Macaca mulatta: one gene and its partners. Each later gene encodes a partner of the first gene's protein in a complex. Links are inferred from orthologs where the notes say so. Each region holds a gene or a part of one and is shown on either strand. Other genes may lie near its edges.

Region 1 (6,137 bases):
TACTATTTTATATTTTTGTAAGAAGTAAGACCTGATTGTGTCCTTAAAAATGGAATACATTTCTTCTCTTTTTTGTAATATAGCTTACTACAATTAAATTAATTTGAGTTTAAGATTATTCAAATAAGGAAAAATGCAGAGATTAATTGACTTAATCAAATTCACATGGTCCATGTGAATAAATGGGAAAAGGATAGATCCATCTGGTTAGAATGCAGAGTTTATCTTGTATTTCTGGTAAGTTTTTATTTTCCACCTATTTGCATCATAATATTTTTGTATATTAAATGAGAAGATGTCTTGAAATAATATGTAATCCAGTATGGTACATGTACTTTGTCAGAAAAATAGAACATACCTGAGAAATTGTGAATGTGTATAGTTTACCCATAGATTTGAAAACCAGATACAGATAAATGTTTTAAATAGCTGTGTACCATTTGTCTATCTTAAGCGTATTCTCCAAAATTGTGAGTAAGTCAAAACTAAGATACATTACACACTTGACTCTCATAAGAGTGTCTTTCATTAACACCATTGCAATGATAGAGCTTGTGTTTATGGTTTAATAGCTTCTCTGAATGCCAAGCATAAGATACGCAATAAAGCAAAAGATTTTAAATAACCTTTCTTGAACATATTTGTATTCTGAAAAGTTGGTACTGTAATCATATCTCCAAAACCAGAATTATTTGTTAAAGCTGTATTCAAGGTCATATGTAGAGTATGAAATAAATTTTGTTTACTGAATACATTTTTGATCCTTTAAAGATTATTATTGTTTTCTATAAAGATCTAGAATAATCTTTTAAAATTAAGTTACTATCAAACTTCTGCCATGTAGATAAAATTGGTAACAAAATATTTTTACAATGTTTCCAAATATGATCTAGTTAGAAATATGTAGTGATGCTATTAACTGAAATTCAGTTAGTCTTTATGTGTTTATCAAATAACTTGTCCACATTAATCTGTAAAGCAAATAACATAATCGTTTTACCTTTATATTATTTTCAATATTTTTTTATTAAATTTTATTTCTGTTATGCATGAAAAAATAGTGTAATATGTGCAAGTGAACGTAAATGTTCTTACAAATATGCTAAGTATTGACTTCACTTAAAATTCATACATGTTCGGAGTTACCAGTGAGAAAAGCATATACATCTTGCCCATTCATTTAAAACAATTTTCAAAGTTACAGACCCAGTATTATTTTTAAAAATGTTTTTGTTATTCCAGTTTTTCAAAGTGAATGAACAGTTTCATATATTATAAAAATCTACATATTTTAACTTTTAGTATAATGCTTTGGTATGTAAGATAGAAAAAATCTTGTAACAATAACTGAAAACATTATCTCTTTAAGAAATAGAATATTTCAGGTAAAACATATTTTAGCTCACGTTATTCACATAATGTTTCAATTCTGTGTTTAATTTTACTTATTTAGAATTGACTGAAGGCTCAATGCATTGATTTTATGATGCTACAAGGAAACATCATCTAGCAAAGTAAATTCATTTCTTTATGGCTAAAAGCATGCATTGATACTCTGACATTCTCTTATCATTAAAGAAAGCACATTTTGAACACAATAATCTGAATTTTTATTTCAAACTTCCAGTTATGTCCTCAAAGATTTCCTTTGGCGAATGACCTTCAATGTTCATCGTCTAGTGTTTTTCAAAAGTATTTTTGGAAAACAAAGATTATAACCCATACTGTTAGTAAACTCATAAAAATTTAATCAAATTATATAAGAGAATTATGGGTTTGAGGCTGGCAATTAAACAAAAATTAAGGAAGTTTGGAGAGTTTCTCATTATAAAATATGATTGTAATATAATACCTCCTAAGAAAATAATCTGAATTAAAAATAATGTTGTTTTAATTTTTGTTAGTAAGCCATCGCATTGGGTTAGTAAATGTGTTGTTTCCACTTTCTCCCCCATTTATATAATGGCGAAAGTCACATTCTAAAAACACTCTTCCCATTTCTACACATGTGTCAGGGAACTCAGTACAATTGAAGATTGAAAAGAGAGAGAAATCAGCCATGATACCTTTAAAGAATCACAAATCTAAGAATTAATTTAAATCTTCATTATGTTGAGGAATTTGTGGAAAAATTGAGTTGTAAATTACTGAAGAGTTACTCAGGATGTTTGTAGCCTACTATTAATGTGCCAGATATGAGTGATTAAGTACAGGATGCTTCCAATGCAGGACATCTTGGAAAGTATAATTTCATTTAGGTAAGAAACTGTATAACTTAAAAATTATATCTATCAATGTCATTTAAAATTTGACATCAAACTTTCTCCAGCAACAAATTTGTGCTATATCTATACAAACAATTTGTTAAGCAGACACTAGTTTCTTAAATTGTTCAGGACAGTCTGTACCATCGGAGAGCATTAACAGATGTTTTATCTCAACATTTCAGTAAGTTCCATCCTGGAAATTCTTTTTTAATAAGTACTTTAATTTCTTCATTTAATCATCTAATATACTTGTTTAGGAAAGCTGTCACATTTCTTTATCCACAGATATCTTGGTATCACACCCTCCTCCAAAAGCTTGCAGAGGGGAACCAGTCAAGTTGAAGTATTCTCTTAAAGATTTCAAAATTAAGAATTGTTTTAACAATCTACATTTCCTAAACTCTAGGTCTTTTCTTTGTAGCCGACACCATGATCCACATAAAGAGGAAACAGTTCAGGGTTAGCAGAAAACAGATTTAAACACATCTGGCAACAATGAATAACAAAAATTAGTTCAGTAGTTACAGATATATGTGTAAATAAAGGTGAAAGGCAAATAAAAGCAAATGGAACAAATGCAAAGTGATTACTTTTCAAAACTCTGCATTGTGTTCAACCACAGAGTAAGTGAGACTCCGAGACCCATTAAGTAGCTATTCTTTCACCTCTTTCTTAGAGCTGATAACATGGAAAGTTTAAAGACCCTGGGGGAAAAATGTTTTCCAGCTGTCAAGATTCAAGCTTAGCTAATAGTAGAGCTAATTTTAAAAGGCATTGTTCTCTGATTAAGGTATTTGTTCAGAAATATGTCTTTTAATCCATTTAGATTTTTAATACTTGCTAAATTTATTTTCTAGAATACCATGGTAAACAATATTATCTAGTAGTATTAGATTTTGTATTAACTTTGGGGTAATAGGCTGTATTTTCTCTAGCATGTGAAATAAATGAGAGTATGTTTCAACATTATTTCAATGCTACCTACTAAATTCTATAATAGAAACATTGCCAAACTATATGAGAATACTACTTAGAATAAATATATTTATTTTGAATGTGCACTTACCCAGTCCAGCTCTTAAGGAAATTCTTTGTGAAATATTCTTAGGATGAAACTTTACTTTCTGAGATTCCGCAGAAGAGGCAAGGTGGGAAGGAGTGAAAGCTTTGCAATGTGATCCTGCAATCAGGATGAGATTCAGTTAGCAGAGCTTGATGGTCCTAAAGCAGGAGGTGACACTCTGCTGGAGAGAGAGAGGTTGTTCTGAGTAGATTGTAAGTGTTGTCAGATTGTAAGTGATCAGCAGCAGAAGGGAAACATCAGAGCTTCCTGTTACATCACTCTGACCCCGCCTGCAGTTAGTGTTAGGTTACTTTCTTTCTCAAATAGCATACCCCAGGAAAGCAGCACTCCTTTCTTATTGTGAGACAAGAGCAAGAAGCAGCCTGAACAGGGAGAGATCATAGGCTGTGTGAATGCATTGTTACCAGTAAAAAGCTGGCTGGCTTTCACCTTGACTGAGTTCTGTTAGAACTTGCCAAACAAGCTACTTGTGATTTGAAGGAAATCTGAATATAGTATTCTGCTCAAAGAATCAAAGAGTTAGGCGTGTGTGCGTGTGTGTGTGTGTGTGTGTGTGTGTGTGTTGAATTATAGCTTACAAAGTATCCAGGAAAAAAATATCTAACAAATCTGTGTTCATAGCACAACACAGAAAAAAAATTAACTGCATTCATCATAATTGGTTTTGTGATTTGGCTCTTATTAATTTGGAGCTCTGCTAATTGGGTGCTATTCCTCCATCAGTTCCTAAGTGCAGTTCCTAATCAGTTACTCAGATCAAGAAACTTTATCCTGCAGTTTTTAAATCTTTTATTTTTTCCTTTACCTTCTTCATAACATAAGAACATGAGTGTATGTGTTATAAATTCAACTTGTGTATGTGTGTGTATAGAGTATTTCTTTTATAATATATAATATATCAGTATTATATTTGTCAAAATAGCCTTTGGAATAATTCATAATTTTAAAATTACTGCACACATTTACAAATATTTGGTATAATTATGTTATTTATAATATAAAAATAATTTATACCACAATATTTGTAAATCAATACAATCTTAAAGAAAATGTAGATATGTTATAAACATAATATTATAAAATAATATAAATACAAAGCATACTTTATTTCTTAGACAAAATTTCATCTCAAAGCATAATTTTTCCTGAATATGTTTAATACATCATTGGATATGATCAGGGGAAAATGTTGTAAATTTGAAATGCTTTTGTCATTTTTATAATTTGGTAAATGTATGATATGAAACAATAATTATAACCCCTGTAACCTAAACAGCACTAAAAGTCACTTAATTTATCAGGGCATAAATTTTCTCATCTATAAACTAGAAGAGATAGCTTTTATCTCTAAAGCTTTGAATTGCCAGATTTCATAACATTTAGAAATAGATAAGATATGGTGAGGATCATTCAATTCTTAGTAAATTGTTAGTGTAATTCCAGGATAAAATGAGGTGCCCATACACCTTGTAGGCAAACAAAGGAGGTAAAGGCAAAATAGATTCAGGAATATCATGTTTTTAAAGCAGGGTGCTCACGTTCATATTTTTATTGTCTGAATTAGTGGAAGAAAATGTGTATACGCTCTTTGAGTTTAAGACAAGTAAGATCAATATTGATAAAAAATTACAGACATATAAAAATAAGATATACCTTAATCTCTGTAATTATGGTTAATAGAAAAGACTTGTAAGATCTTGAGTTACACTGGTGAACTGGTTCTGATACTGTCTGGTGTGATCTCGACAAAGCTTTTTAGGCTTGGTGTTCCCATCTTGAAATTCAGCGCAAAACAAATACTAGATTTAATATGAAAGTAATAATGGGTCATGTCTTCTCATCTTCCATGCTAAGTATAATATATGAATCCTATAAAGATATTAATATATAGTTTTTGAATTTAATTAAATCATTGAAAACTAAAACTTTTCCCAATGTGTTTATAAAAGCATTAATATTTTTGTCTTTCCAAAGATTCCTTCCTTCCTTCCTCCCTCTTTCTTTCTTTCTCTCTCTCTTTCTTTCTTTCTTTCTTTCTTTCTTTCTTTCTTTCTTTCTTTCTTTCTTTCTTTCTTTCTTTTTTTCCTTCCTTCCTTCCTTCTTTCTTCTCTTTCTTCTCTTTCTTTCTCGATGGAGTTTTTGCTCTTGTTGCACAGGCTGGAGTGCAATGATGCAATCTCAGCTCACTGCAACCTCCGCTTCCAGGGTTCAAGCAATTCTCCTGCCTCAGCCTCCCGAGTAGCTGGGATTACAGGCGCCTGCCACCACACCCAGCTAACTTTTTGTATTTTTTTGTAGAGACAGGGTTTCACCACGTTGGCCAGACTGGTCTCAAACTCCTGACCTCAGGTGATTCACCCACCTTAGCCTCCCAAAGTGCTGGGATTACAGACGTGAGCCACTGCATCCGGCTAGATTCATTGATTTCATTTGCCCAATACTAGTAAGGTCTACTGAAGGAAAAAAATTCATATTTTGAGCTGATAACCTTAATCCAATGCTCTTTCTCTTCTACTCTATATCAAGTGCTATACTTTATGGGGTGTCTTAACGGAAGTTGTATTATTTATATTTAAGTTGATGGACATATGGGCCCATGGTTGTAGTCCATGAAGACTCCTTGATAAATTTTATTGATATCATCTCTAATTATTATTTAGACCTAACAGGAAAATTGCATCCTAGTAATCCTTAAGAGCTGCCATTTTATAAACTTCAGAAAAAATAAATGGTACAAGGACTTCCAGGAAAGCATTCAGGGTATTCTAAGTTATAAAGGAGCAAGT
Region 2 (5,165 bases), on another chromosome or scaffold:
TCGTGGACGGTGGGTAGGCGAAAACTGTGGAGAACAGTGAACCATCTATCAACACCAACACGCACTCACCTTCAACCAGAATTTCTACTTCCAGGAAGGTGTCGTACAGACACGTCTGTGAGCTCGAGGCAGCAACTCACAAAAAGACTGGTGGTCACCTAATTTCACGTTAATCGCAGGTGAAGTGAATCATGCAACACCTATATGCTGGAGTAGGTCCAACCATAGGAAAGAATGGGGTCTCTGATGTGAGGACGGTCAGGCTGTGAGGCCTGTCACCCCACTGGTCACCAGGGTTGATTCGGCTGATGTGGTTGGCTCAGAGGTAGGTGTCCCCTCCTTCCCCACCGTTCCCTGTGTGTCCCTCTGAAGCTGTGTGCTTCGTCAAAGAGGATGAAGGATCAGGCTTCCAGTAGCTGTGCTCCTCTGCCAGGACCTACAAACAAGCTCTCAGTAAAGAATGGGGTCTCAGTCCTATTGCAGGTCTGCACACATGGATGTGTGTGCCTCACACGGCCGCACCTTGGTGTGCCCAGGGCGGGTCAGGAGAGGGCTCCCACCCAGACCGGGGTAGGGGTACCCAGTGGGTGGTAATGATGAGGAGAGTCTCACGTTTCACTTGTTTAAATTTCTTTTTTTTTTTAATTTTTGAGACGGAGTCTCACTCTGTCGCCCAAGCTGGAGTGCAATGGCACGATCTCAGCTCACTGTAACCTCCACCGCCTGGGTTCAAGCCTCAGCCTTTCCTGCCTCAGCCTCCCAAGTGGCTGAGATTACAGGGACCCGCCACCAAGCCCAGCTAATTTTTTTTGGGGGGGGGGTTCGGAGGCGGAGTCTAGCTGTGTCCCCCAGGCTGGAGTGCAGTGGCTCCGCCTCCCGGGTTCACACCATTCTCCTGCCTCAGCTTCCCGAGTAGCTGGGACTACAGGCGCCTGCCACCACGCCCGGCACATGTTTTGTATTTTTAATAGAGAGGGAGTTTCACCGTGTTAGCCAGGATGGTCTTGATCTCCTGACCTCGTGATCCACTCGCCTCGGCCTCCCACAGTGCTGGGATTACAGGCGTGAGCCTCCGCGCCCCACCGGCCCATGACCAGCTAATTTTATTTTTAGTAGAGACGGGTTTCTCCATGTTGGCCAGGCTAGTCTCAAACTCCAGGCCTCAGGTGATCCGCCCGCCTCGGCTTCCCAAATTGCTGGAATTACCGGAGTGAGCCACCGCGCCCGGACACTTGTTTAGATTTGTTACAGAAACCGTGCAATACTTTGGTCTGGGGTTGGAGCGGCTGGCGGTAGGTAGAGCTTTTTAGGAGCGCAGCCCCGGGTTTGGGGACACCGCGTCAGACGATAGCGGAATCCCGCAGACTCCCTGGTCAGGCCCGGGTCCGGGGTCCACCGGATCAGACCCTGGAGGGTGGGACCGCCAGGACCCACCAATCGGGAGGTGGTTGACAGGGTGAGAGTCCGCCCCAGCCGTGGGATCAGCTTGGACTACGGCTCGCCCCCTAGAACCCCGCTTCAGCCTGGGGAAGTCCGGCCCCCCCAGGCTCGGGGCTGCGTCCCCACTAGAAGGCGCCTGGAGTGAGGCTGGCAGCCCCGCGGTCCCGGGCCGGTCGCCGAGCGCTCCCGGCGGGAACAGCCCCCTCCCCGCCCCGGAGCGTGGCTTAGCCCGGGGCAGGGGCGCCCCGCCCCGTCCGTGCACCCGGCTCCGCCCCTTGCTGGAAAGGCTACGTATTCAGCTCCAGAGGTGCCATCCCGGCCGCGACTCTGCTCCAGACAGGACCCCCAACCCGCCCAGCCCGCTCCGCCTTGCGCTCTGGACCCGCGGCCGACCCCAGACCCGCTGCCCGCTTCGCACCCGAGGCCTGCGCCCCGACGGACGCCCGTGCCCAGCTTGCCATACCCACGCCCGGTGCCCCGACCGCGGAGGGCTCCCCGAGGTGCCGGCGGAGGGGGTGGCTCGCGGCTCAGGCTGCCCCCGACCTGCCCGGCTCACCGCTCCCTCCCCTGCAGCGCCGCCCGCCATGGCCCGGATCCCGACGGCCGCCCTGGGTTGCATCAGCCTCCTCTGCCTGCAGCTCCCTGGCGTGCTGTCCCGCAGCCTGGGCGGGGACCCGCGTCCCGTCAAACCCAGGTGAGTCCAGGTCTTGGGCCAGCCAGCCCCTCTGGCCCCCACAGGGAAGCAGAGTACCGGGGGCCGCCCTCCCTCCAACCGCCACCTGCTGCTAGGGCTCCCGTCCCAAACCAAGGCCCCTGCCCCAGGCTCAGCAGCGCCTGAGCAGGGCCAGAGGACCCTCTTCCTCTGCCTCCCTGCACAGGGCAGTTGCTTCTCCCCACACAGGTGGACACAGCAGCCCCTTTTCTGGGGGTGTCTGCTGGGGGAGGGACGGCTGGCGGTATCCCCAGGCCCACCTGTGACCAAAGGGAGGGCAGAAGCTGAGTCACCCTGAGCCCTGAGAGTGGTGACCCGCAGAGGCTGGGCCGCGGGGGTGCCCTTTGCTCAAGGAGGTGCCGGTTCCCAGGACACGTGACCCGGGCCACTGAGATGGTCCCAGGCCCCAAGCCCAGAGGGGACGCGTGGGCTTCCCCTGGCTATGCTCCAGGCTGTGTGGGTGGGGGCCGTGGGCTTCCCCTGGCAGTGACCCAGGCCTGTGTAGAGGCAAAAGTGGGTAGGTGTGAGGTCTCTGAAAGGCTGAGCCATCCAGTTGACATTCTCCATCTGCCTCTGCAGGGAGCCCCCAGCCCGGACCCCTTCCAGCAACCTGCAGCCCAGGCACCCCGCACCCCGACCTGTGGTTTGGAAGCTTCACCAGGCCCTCCAGCCACAGAGGGGTGCTGGCCTGGCCCCTGCTATGGGTCAGCCTCTCCGGGATGGTGGCCGCCAACACTCGGGCCCCCGAAGACACTCGGGCTCCCGCAGGACCCAAGCCCAGCTCCTGCGAGTGGGCTGTGTGCTGGGCACCTGTCAGGTGCAGAATCTCAGCCACCGCCTGTGGCAACTCATGGGACCGGCTGGCCGGCAGGACTCAGCTCCTGTGGACCCCAGCAGCCCCCACAGCTATGGCTGAAGTGGGGCTGGGCCACACCCCTGGCCATCCCAGCCAGGGTGCTGTGCCCCCGTCCAGAGCTGCAGCTGAGTCCCCTCCGCAGCCCAGTCCCGCGGAGCTGCAGACAGCAGGTCCTGCAGCAACAATGCCTGCACGGCGTTGCACACGTAAACCCTTGCACACCTGTAGACCGAGGCTGGTCTATATGCAGTGCTGGTATGTCAAGGAGCCTAAACACCCTGAAATTGTAAACCCTTGGGGGATGGCTGCCAGACCCAGCTGGTGGCAGCACCAGATGCTAAAAAGCGTTTTAAAAAGGAGGCATCTGCCAGGGACGTGGAGCAGAAGCTGGGCCCTGAACCCACAGGGCCACGTCTGGACGAACAGGGGAGAGGGGCTGAATTGGCCGGAAGCGGCCCCTCCGCTGCTGGTCCAGTCAGACTGAAGCCCGGCCTTGTGCCTGGGCTGTTCCTGCTGTCGTGCACAACCAGCCCTTCCACGTGCCTGCCTGGCCGGGGGTCCCAGCCTCTCCCTCCCCATGCCTTTGGGACAGGACAGGGAGTGTGGGATGCTATAGCCCCCTGGGGTTGGGCAAGGGAAGGATGGTGGCCCTCCAGAGGTCATGAAGGGACCTCTGTGGCTCCAGCTGCCAACCCTGGAGCCCAGACTGAGGTAGCCATGGGGACTCCATCTGGATGCCCTGTGGGAGGCCGGGGAGGGGAACTCAGCAGTTCAGAAGCCACCCCAAACCATTCTGGGACAGGGACACCCCTTCCTACCCCAGGACAGGGCAGGGCTGGGTGGGGCAAGACCCCCAGCCCAAATAGACCCACCCCACCTCAAGGGGGTGAGACCCTTGTTGGCAGCCAGACAAGGGTGGGGCTCCACAGGCAACCCAGGCGCCCCACCACCACCCAGTGTGGGGGCCCAGTGGAACCAGGTGTGGGGGCAGCAGGTGACTCGCCAAGAGCCCGGGAGGGCAGCCCAGCCCCAAATGACAAGAACAAGAACCACTGCCAGTGTGCACGGACTTGGTGTGTGTTCTTCCCCGGGGAGATGGGGGCTCATGTGCGTGTGCCACTCGAGGCTCCCAGTCGTCCAGCAGAACGCGGGGTTCAGAAAGGGTTCCTTCCGCTACTTAGCAAACACTCAGCATTTAATTTGCAAATGTTTGCTAGGGTCACCCTCTCAGCCACCCCATGAGGGTCACCATGATCACCCCAACTCTAGAGGCTACAGCAGAGCTCAGGACATTCCCCCACAGCCTGCCCCTCAGTGACTACTTCCAAAGGGGAGGGTCCTGGAAGCGCCCACCCAGGCGCCGCCTCTGTGCTTGCTCCCTGAGCTCAGGGATCGCCGGGTCCAGGTAACTGACCTGTGCTCCATGAGGCCCTGTGGGAACAGTCCAGGCTGATCCTGCCCTGTGGAGGCCTCCATGCACTGGGAGATGGACTAGGGTTGCAGCAGAGGTGGTCAGGGTGGTGGCCCGCACAGCAAGGCAGTCAAGGCCGGCTCCCTGGGAGAAGCACTGGATCAGTGAGGTCTGAGGACAACAGGCCTTCCCTAGGGGAAGGAGCTGGGAGTGCCAAGTCCCCAGGTGCACAGGAGGCTTGGCTGCTGAGAGGCTGCAGGGTGGAGGGGCCTCGGCCTCTGAGTCATGTGTCCTGTGGTCACTGAAGGGTGTCAGCAGAGCACAGGGCATGAGGACAGAGGGTGGGGACCCCGGGGCAAGGCTGGGGGGTCAGGAGCTCAGTGTCCGCTACTCAACCCAGCCAAAACCCTCCCAGATGCCTCCTCTCCTGCCTAGGCAAAGTCCAGCTTGGCACCCCGTCTGGGGCCTGCCTGTGGTCAGGGCCAAGTGTTCCCTCCTCCAGGAAAGCCTTCACCCTCCTCATGCCCTGTAGTCAGGAGGCCGCCTTCCGTGACCCTCTGCATCGCCTCAGGTGTGAAGCCAGACCCACCTGACACCCTCACGCACAGGCCCAGCAGCACCTGCACTCACCCCCACCTTCGCCAGCAACCACTTCCCGCTGCTCTGGCCAAAACCTCCTCTAGGCCGGGCCCGGCGGCTCACGCCTATAATCCCAGCACTTTGGGAGGCCAAGTCAGGCAGATCAC
Region 3 (6,269 bases), on another chromosome or scaffold:
GTTCACCTAGCTGCTCTCCACATCCAGCTACTGTCCTCATCCCTGGGCCTGGCGTCATTCCCTAACAGATTATCTCAGAACCCTTGGGTGGGTCTCCTGAGCTCGGCCCACCATCCCAGTGGGCACGAGCCAGGCTAGCCCCACCCTGTCCCTCCTGGCCAGCGCCCACACCTGCAGCCTGGTCCACCTGGACCCCTAGGTCTGAATCTGAACCCCTAGACCTGGACCCCTTGGCCTTGTGCCCCCTCAGCGTGCTCTGACTGTCACCTATCAGACCAAGACCCAGCCCAGTTCTTCTTCCTCCTCCGCCTCCCTCTCCTTCCCCTTCTTTCTTTCTTCCTCCTTCCCCCGTCCTCTTTACCCTCCTCTCCATCCCCTGTTTCCTCTCCCCTCCTTCCTTCCTCCTCATCCTGGAAGTTAGAACAAATCTGAACCACTGCCTTCTCCCCCCAAGCCCATTCCTAGCAGGTATTTGCCGCAGCCAGCCCAAGTGTGGCTGTTCCTACAGCCCACCTCCCTATACAGGGCCTGCATCTGCCGCATTTTCACATTAACCATGATGCTCTGAAACACAGCTCTGGGACAAGGTCCTGGTAAGTATCCATTACCCTCTGGCAACTATTATTCTCCCTGAGCCCCTGATCTCCCCCTCTGAGCCAGGCAAAGATAGCATCAATTCCACACCACCCCCAGTGCCAGGGCATTGCCCAGCCCCTCCCCCAGGACTCTACAAACACGCACCCAGGTGGCATAGCTATCTAAAGAGAAGGAGGGGTCCCTGACAACATGCCCCTCCCTGAATCTCTGCATGCCCCAAATCTCTGCATACCCCAGAACCTCCACATGCCCCATGGCAAGGACCTGGCCTGGGCAGATTGTAAATGTGCCTTTGAGGACCACAGGCCATCCTCAGGCAGGTGTTCTGAGATAACTTCTCTGCCCATGGAGGTGCTATGAGGATGCCTGTGACAGCGCCAGCCCTGGGCCTGCACAAGGCAGGCACCCTGAGAGACCAAGTGTCCTCCCAGGAAGCTCATTTCTAGTGCACATGAGGCTTGAGGGGCTCCCAGCAAAACCTGACAACCCACCCAATGTTAGAACAATGGTGTAAAGACAGATTCCTGGCAACACCACAAAAGAGGGTCATTGCCAATCAAGCTACTGGCTGCATTAGTAAAGGTCACAGGAACTGAATCAAAATAGAAATCCATTTTGGTTGGTTTCATTGGGAGACAAAGAACATGCCGGCCTGTGTTTCTTTTGTCTCAGGGACTTCCAGACGCCGAGAGATGATAAACAGCCAAACAGATGCACTTCCGCGAGAAAGGGCTTTTGTGGCTAGTCATTTGGAAATGAAACGCAGGCGCTCTCCCCATCCTTAACAGAAAGAGCATCGATCAGACTGGCAAGTGGCTGCCATGGGCCATGGTCAGTCGACCTTGGGAGGCTGTGGATTCTGGGTGGTTCTGCCCCTGTTCTCTGTGGTTGGGCAACTTCCTCTCAACCCTCCAGACTTCTGTTTCCTTATGAAGAGTAGGTAAGAGCATGGAGGTCAGATAACCTCCAAGGAACCTCCAGTGCCAAAAATCTATGGGCCTCTTCTTGGCCAATCACCACCATCAAGTCTTCTTTTTTTTTTTTTTTTTTTGACAGAATCTCGCTTTGTCACCAGGCTGGAGTGCAATGGCACAATCTCGGCTCACTGCAATCTCCGCCTCCCAGGTTCAAGTGATTCCCCTGTCTCAGCCTCCCGAGTAGCTGAGACTACAGGCATGCATCACCACACCCAGCTAATTTTTTGTATTTTTAGTAGAGATGGGGTTTCACCATGTTGGCCAGGATGGTCTCAAACTCCTGACCTCGTGATCTGCTCGGCCTCCCAAAGTGCTGAGATTACAGGCGTGAGCCACTGCCCCCGGCCTGCCACCTCCAAGTCTTTAATTCACCAGAGTTACTGCTATCCAACCACGGCCCTTGGGCCCACTTGATTCAGCAGAATCAATGTGACCACAGGTAACATGGTAGCAGGACATCATTTAGTGATAAAAATGGTGGTACCATGTTCACATGCTTGCACACACAGGCACACACACTATGGTGCTCCATCTTTGGGTGCTGTGAGTGAGCCTCATGAGGCCCAGTGCAGTCACTGGTGGGTGCCTTCCTACACCTCCCCTTGTTTAAGCATGAATCCTTCCACCCCACAATCCCATGCCCAACACAAGACGATAAAGACTAAACTGAATGGAATCAAACTGACGGTCTCAGCAGCCCTTTGCAGGTTGCTACTATTACATCTACATTGCAGCTGGGAAACTGAGGCCAGTGAGTGCTTTGTAATCTTGGGATCATGATCGGGATTTTCACCCAGACCAAAAGAGTCCAGTCAAGGGCTGGACTACTGGCTGCATTAGTAAAAGTCGCAGGAACTGAATCAAAATAGAAAACAGCAAAGCATCCTGCTGAGTAGACAACTGCTGAACTTTGCATCCCCACAGCCCTGCACAGCATCAAATGCTTTCTGGAAAAAGGTTTGGAATTCTCAAAGAAGCCCCAGAGGTCAGCACCCTCCCTGCTGGTCCCCCTGAGCCAGTCCTCACTCAAGAGGAACCCACCCAGCTCCTTCCTTCCAGATACAGCAGCATCCAGGGCAGATGTGGGCTCCAGTCCCACCTCTGACACATCAGCCTGGAACCATGAGCAAGTTTTACCTCTCTCTGAATCTCACTCTGGCCAGGCAAACACTGGGAGGGTCTGCTGAGAAGCTGGGCCTGGTCTCCATTCTGGCCAGGGAGCATGAACCCATGTCCCATTGGAGGGGGACAGTCAGGACCAACACAACAAGACAAAGAAGTGACCCTCAGGAACTGGGTCCACGAGAGACAGGATTATTAAGAGGAGGGATTCTGTGCAGGCGGAAGCCTGTGGTCCTTCTCAATTCCATACTGGAGATGGTCAGGAAAGCCTCAGCTTCTCCCAGAATGAATTCAGAGGACCTTCCTTCCATTATAGTGACCAAGATCTCCACCTGAGGGGAGCTCACTGGAAGTTTGCTGAAATCCCAAATCAGCATGCTCCTGATTGCCACGCACCTTTGCACTTCAACACAAAATGAACCACGTCCTAGGCTCCAGCCCTGGAACACCAAATGAAGCCACACATGTTCTGCACACCAAGACCTCTTCAATGGAAGGAAAATGAACACTGAGTTTGGTCCACCCTTTTCCCACCTCCCTTACCAAATCCCAAATCATCAAAACAGGCCCAACGCTGCATCTTACAGTCAGGGAAACTGGGGACCACCAGACCAGGGCCCTCCCTCACCAGTGTCCCCCCAGAACTGGCCAGGCTCAGTCGCCACTTAGTGGACTCCAGCCCTCAGCAAGCACTCTTCCCCAACAGCCCTTACACACATTCTCTCTCTCTCTCTCTCCCCCCCCCACCTCTCTCTCTCACTTTCTCTTGGATAATTTCTTTAGTAAGGTAGTTCAAAATAAGCTTTTAGTTTAATCTGTTTCCATTTTGTGAGCAACGGTTCTCCCCAGAGTCCTGATTTATTGCGGAAGAAGACATTAGGAGAGGATGGCTCAGAGAGTCGCCCCGCTTCCCCTGTCAGCCAGTTCCAAGACACACACAAGCGTCCACACACTGACGGGCCCTGGGAGGACCAGCTACGCAGTCCGGAGTCCACCCGCCCACGCCCCTGTGAGTGGTGGGCAGGCACTCAATGCCAGGACAGGGAGCTCACTACCTCACCGACAACCCATCCTAGGGGGAAGGGGGAAGGAGCCAGACCCGGTCCGCCTCCTCTCTCGCCCACCCTGAGGCGACCCCAGAACTGGGGCGTGGGGGGACATCACAACTAGGAGGAGCGGGGACTGCCGGACCCCGCCGGCAGAAGAGCCCGGAGGGGACCCTGTGCCTCCCTTGCCCGCCAGAGTTCTTTGCCTTCAGCTTCTCCCGGGTGAACCCTCCCGCAGAGCCTGGGGAGCCTGCCAGGGTCGCTGTGCGCCCCTCCCGAGCTCAGGGGGAAAGGAAGGACTGCGGCGCAGGTGCAGGAAGGCGCGGGTCCACGCGGGTCCGATGAACTCCGGGAAGTGGGGGCGCCTCCGGTGCGGGCCGACGCCCCCTTACCGCAGAGCAGCAGCAGCAGCGGGAGAAGTTGCGGGCGCCGCCGCGCTCCAGTCTCCATGGCTGGCCGGCCGCGGCTGGGTCACGCTTGGTCCGGCTGGGGGTGCAACCGGGGACGCCCGGATGGGGTTGGGGTGGGGCGGGGCCTCAGGGAGTCCGCCCCCAGGCCGCACCCCCCAGACCACGCCTCCAGCCGTGCCCGTTACCTCCAGATGTGGGGTGCAGGCCTTGCAGGCGCGCCAGGTGGGAGGGACAGGGGGCGGCTGGAGTCTGGGCTGGAATCTCAGCGGGGGTGAGAGTGGGGTGAGGGCTGGGTTTCGAGCTGGGGACTAGCTGGGGTAAGGTGGGGTGCCGGCTCTGAGGGCGGGACTGGGGTGCTGAGCTGCAAAGGAGCGTTTTGGGAGCAGACTGCAGGGGCAGGCTGGGAGGTGAGCTGGAGTGAGAGTGGGGGCCGGCTAATGGTAGGCTGGGCTGCAGGCTGGAAGGACTTGGGGAACTTCCGTCCAGGCTGGGGGCAGAGTGTGGGGGTAGACCGGGGAGGGAGCTGAGGTGTGGATGAAGCGCGGACTGATGATGGCCTAGAGGAGGCTGCGGGTAGACTGGAGGAAGGTGGACCTGGGGGTGGGCTAGGTGTGCCCTGGCCGAAAGTAGACCAGAGTCCAGAGCTGCCCCCAGGCAGGGAGGGGACCTTTGAGCAGAGACACATCTAGGAGCCAGGTCTCCAAGGGTCAGGAAAGTGCATGAAGGAGGTTGGGGTGGGTGGGTGGGTGTGTGTGTGTGTGTGTGTGTGTGTGTGTGTGTGGTGTTCATGGAATATGTGTGTGATGTGCATGTGGAGTATGTGTAGATGCATGTGTGTGCATGGAGTGTGTGATGTATGGTGTGTGTGTGGCATGTGTGAGTTTGAGTCTGAGACAAGGTGTGTTTGTGAGTGTGTGCTTGGGAAACAGTGTGTATGAGAGAGACTGGAGGATGTGGCAGCTACACACAGAGATATATCACACATCAAGGACCAAGCCACAAGCAAACCGAGGGACAAGAGTATCTGGCGCCCCCAAAGACCTGGCCTCGGAGAGTGTCAGGGTTCCTGAGGGGAAGGAAGGCCTCAGTTTCTCCAGCCACAGGTCACTTAGCCAGATGGGTCGCCTCTGTCATCCTCAGCCCCTAGCACAGGCCCTGGCTCCAGTGGACACTTGATGGTGTCTGCAGAATTGTCACTGGCCAGGACTTCCGAGAGCCAGCTAGAGGCCCCTCTCTGCCCTCCAGGGCCCACCCACCACCCCTGGGGGCGCATGCTGGTCTGAGGTTGGAGCACAGGCCCAGGCTCCCACACGGATGGGCCCTCCACTGCTCTGAGCCGTAGGTACTGCTACCTTCCCAGGAGCTGAGCTGACCTTCTCCTGGCTTAGAAAGACCCACTTTATTTAACAAGACCCTTATTTGGGAGCAGAACTTTCTGTGCTTTTTTACTGAAGAAATTCTGATTGCAGCCAGAATTAATTCAAAGGAGTCAAAACTAATTAAAATTGATCATTTGTCCTGCCTTCTGCCTGAGGGGTGGGCAGCAGGTGCAGGGGTGGCCACAGAGCCTCCAGTGAGACTGCTGGTGCCCACAGGCCGGGGCCACAAAACAAGCCCACCAGGGCAGCAGGGGTCTGGCTCACACACACACATACCCTACACTAGCCACGACAAACCAAGAGGACGGTCCAGGCCCGGGTGTCCACCCACATCCCACACAGACTCGGCCTTATAGCTCTCTCCAGGAGAGTCTTAGTCCCCACTCAGTCCCACAGCCCCAAAGGCAGTTGCACACAGCTTACAGGCTGGAACAGGAGGATGGGGTTGTCAGGTGGGAGTGGGGGCAGCCAGTTCCCCCAAGCCTGCACCAGGGAGCAATGCTCCCTTTCCTGGACTCCCCACTCTGACTCTGCAGTGGGGAAGCCCTGGCCATCCTGCAGAGTTGGTTCCAACACCTCTTCTCCAAGGAACCAACCATGCCCTGACAAACTCCCAGGGAGTTGTGTCTACTGTCCTCTATGTCCCTCTAAGACAGGGCCCTCACTTCTCCTTTCTGCCCAGTGCTGCCCATGGCCTCTGCAGGGCAGGTGGGTTTAACACAGGCTGTGAGGAGCTGA

The links.
Region 2: the proteins of CALCRL (region 1) and ADM2 are in contact, whole or in part, in a cryo-EM structure (PDB 6UVA), measured with the Homo sapiens proteins. The link is inferred for Macaca mulatta from reciprocal best matches to the Homo sapiens genes CALCRL and ADM2. Residues at the interface, in NP_001258680.1 of Homo sapiens: Val36, Thr37, Lys40, Asp70, Gly71, Trp72, Asp90, Tyr91, Phe92, Gln93, Asp94, Phe95, Asp96, Pro97, Ser98, His114, Ala116, Ser117, Thr120, Trp121, Thr122, Tyr124, Thr125, Asn128, Thr131, Lys134, Val135, Ala138, Leu139, Leu141; in NP_001240774.1 of Homo sapiens: Leu106, Arg107, Val108, Gly109, Cys110, Val111, Leu112, Gly113, Thr114, Cys115, Gln116, Val117, Gln118, Asn119, Leu120, Ser121, His122, Arg123, Leu124, Trp125, Gln126, Leu127, Met128, Gly129, Pro130, Ala131, Gly132, Arg133, Gln134, Asp135.
Region 3: the proteins of CALCRL (region 1) and RAMP3 are in contact, whole or in part, in a cryo-EM structure (PDB 6UVA), measured with the Homo sapiens proteins. The link is inferred for Macaca mulatta from reciprocal best matches to the Homo sapiens genes CALCRL and RAMP3. Residues at the interface, in NP_001258680.1 of Homo sapiens: Arg38, Asn39, Met42, Thr43, Gln45, Tyr46, Glu47, Tyr49, Gln50, Met53, Trp69, Asp70, Ser117, Arg119, Thr120, Phe228, Leu231, Ile235, His238, Thr239, Val243, Val245, Lys249, Gln250, His251, Trp254, Tyr255, Phe257, Leu258, Phe262; in NP_005847.1 of Homo sapiens: Trp56, Cys57, Leu59, Phe62, Ile63, Tyr66, Glu67, Thr70, Cys82, Tyr83, Pro85, Asn86, Pro87, Leu88, Gln90, Ile93, Thr94, His97, Arg98, Cys104, Thr105, Val106, Asp107, Arg108, His110, Leu111, Glu112, Asp113, Pro114, Val118.

The regions. Positions count from the first base shown.
Region 1 is NC_133417.1:92,407,133-92,413,269, forward strand, and holds the start of CALCRL (calcitonin gene-related peptide type 1 receptor), read right to left. Parts: upstream 3,534-6,137; 5' UTR 3,334-3,533; intron 1-3,333. UniProt on the Homo sapiens protein: G protein-coupled receptor which specificity is determined by its interaction with receptor-activity-modifying proteins (RAMPs). Together with RAMP1, form the receptor complex for calcitonin-gene-related peptides CALCA/CGRP1 and CALCB/CGRP2.
Region 2 is NC_133415.1:974,192-979,356, reverse strand, and holds ADM2 (protein ADM2 precursor), read left to right. Parts: upstream 1-1,908; 5' UTR 1,909-1,940; intron 1,941-2,013; 5' UTR 2,014-2,024; coding exon 2,025-2,134; intron 2,135-2,731; coding exon 2,732-3,068; 3' UTR 3,069-3,211; downstream 3,212-5,165. UniProt on the Homo sapiens protein: Intermedin/ADM2 is a peptide hormone that plays a role as physiological regulator of gastrointestinal and cardiovascular bioactivities mediated by the CALCRL-RAMPs receptor complexes.
Region 3 is NC_133408.1:83,270,823-83,277,091, forward strand, and holds the start of RAMP3 (receptor activity-modifying protein 3 precursor), read right to left. Parts: upstream 4,255-6,269; 5' UTR 4,193-4,254; coding exon 4,135-4,192; intron 1-4,134. UniProt on the Homo sapiens protein: Accessory protein that interacts with and modulates the function of G-protein coupled receptors including calcitonin gene-related peptide type 1 receptor (CALCRL), calcitonin receptor (CALCR) and G-protein coupled estrogen receptor 1 (GPER1).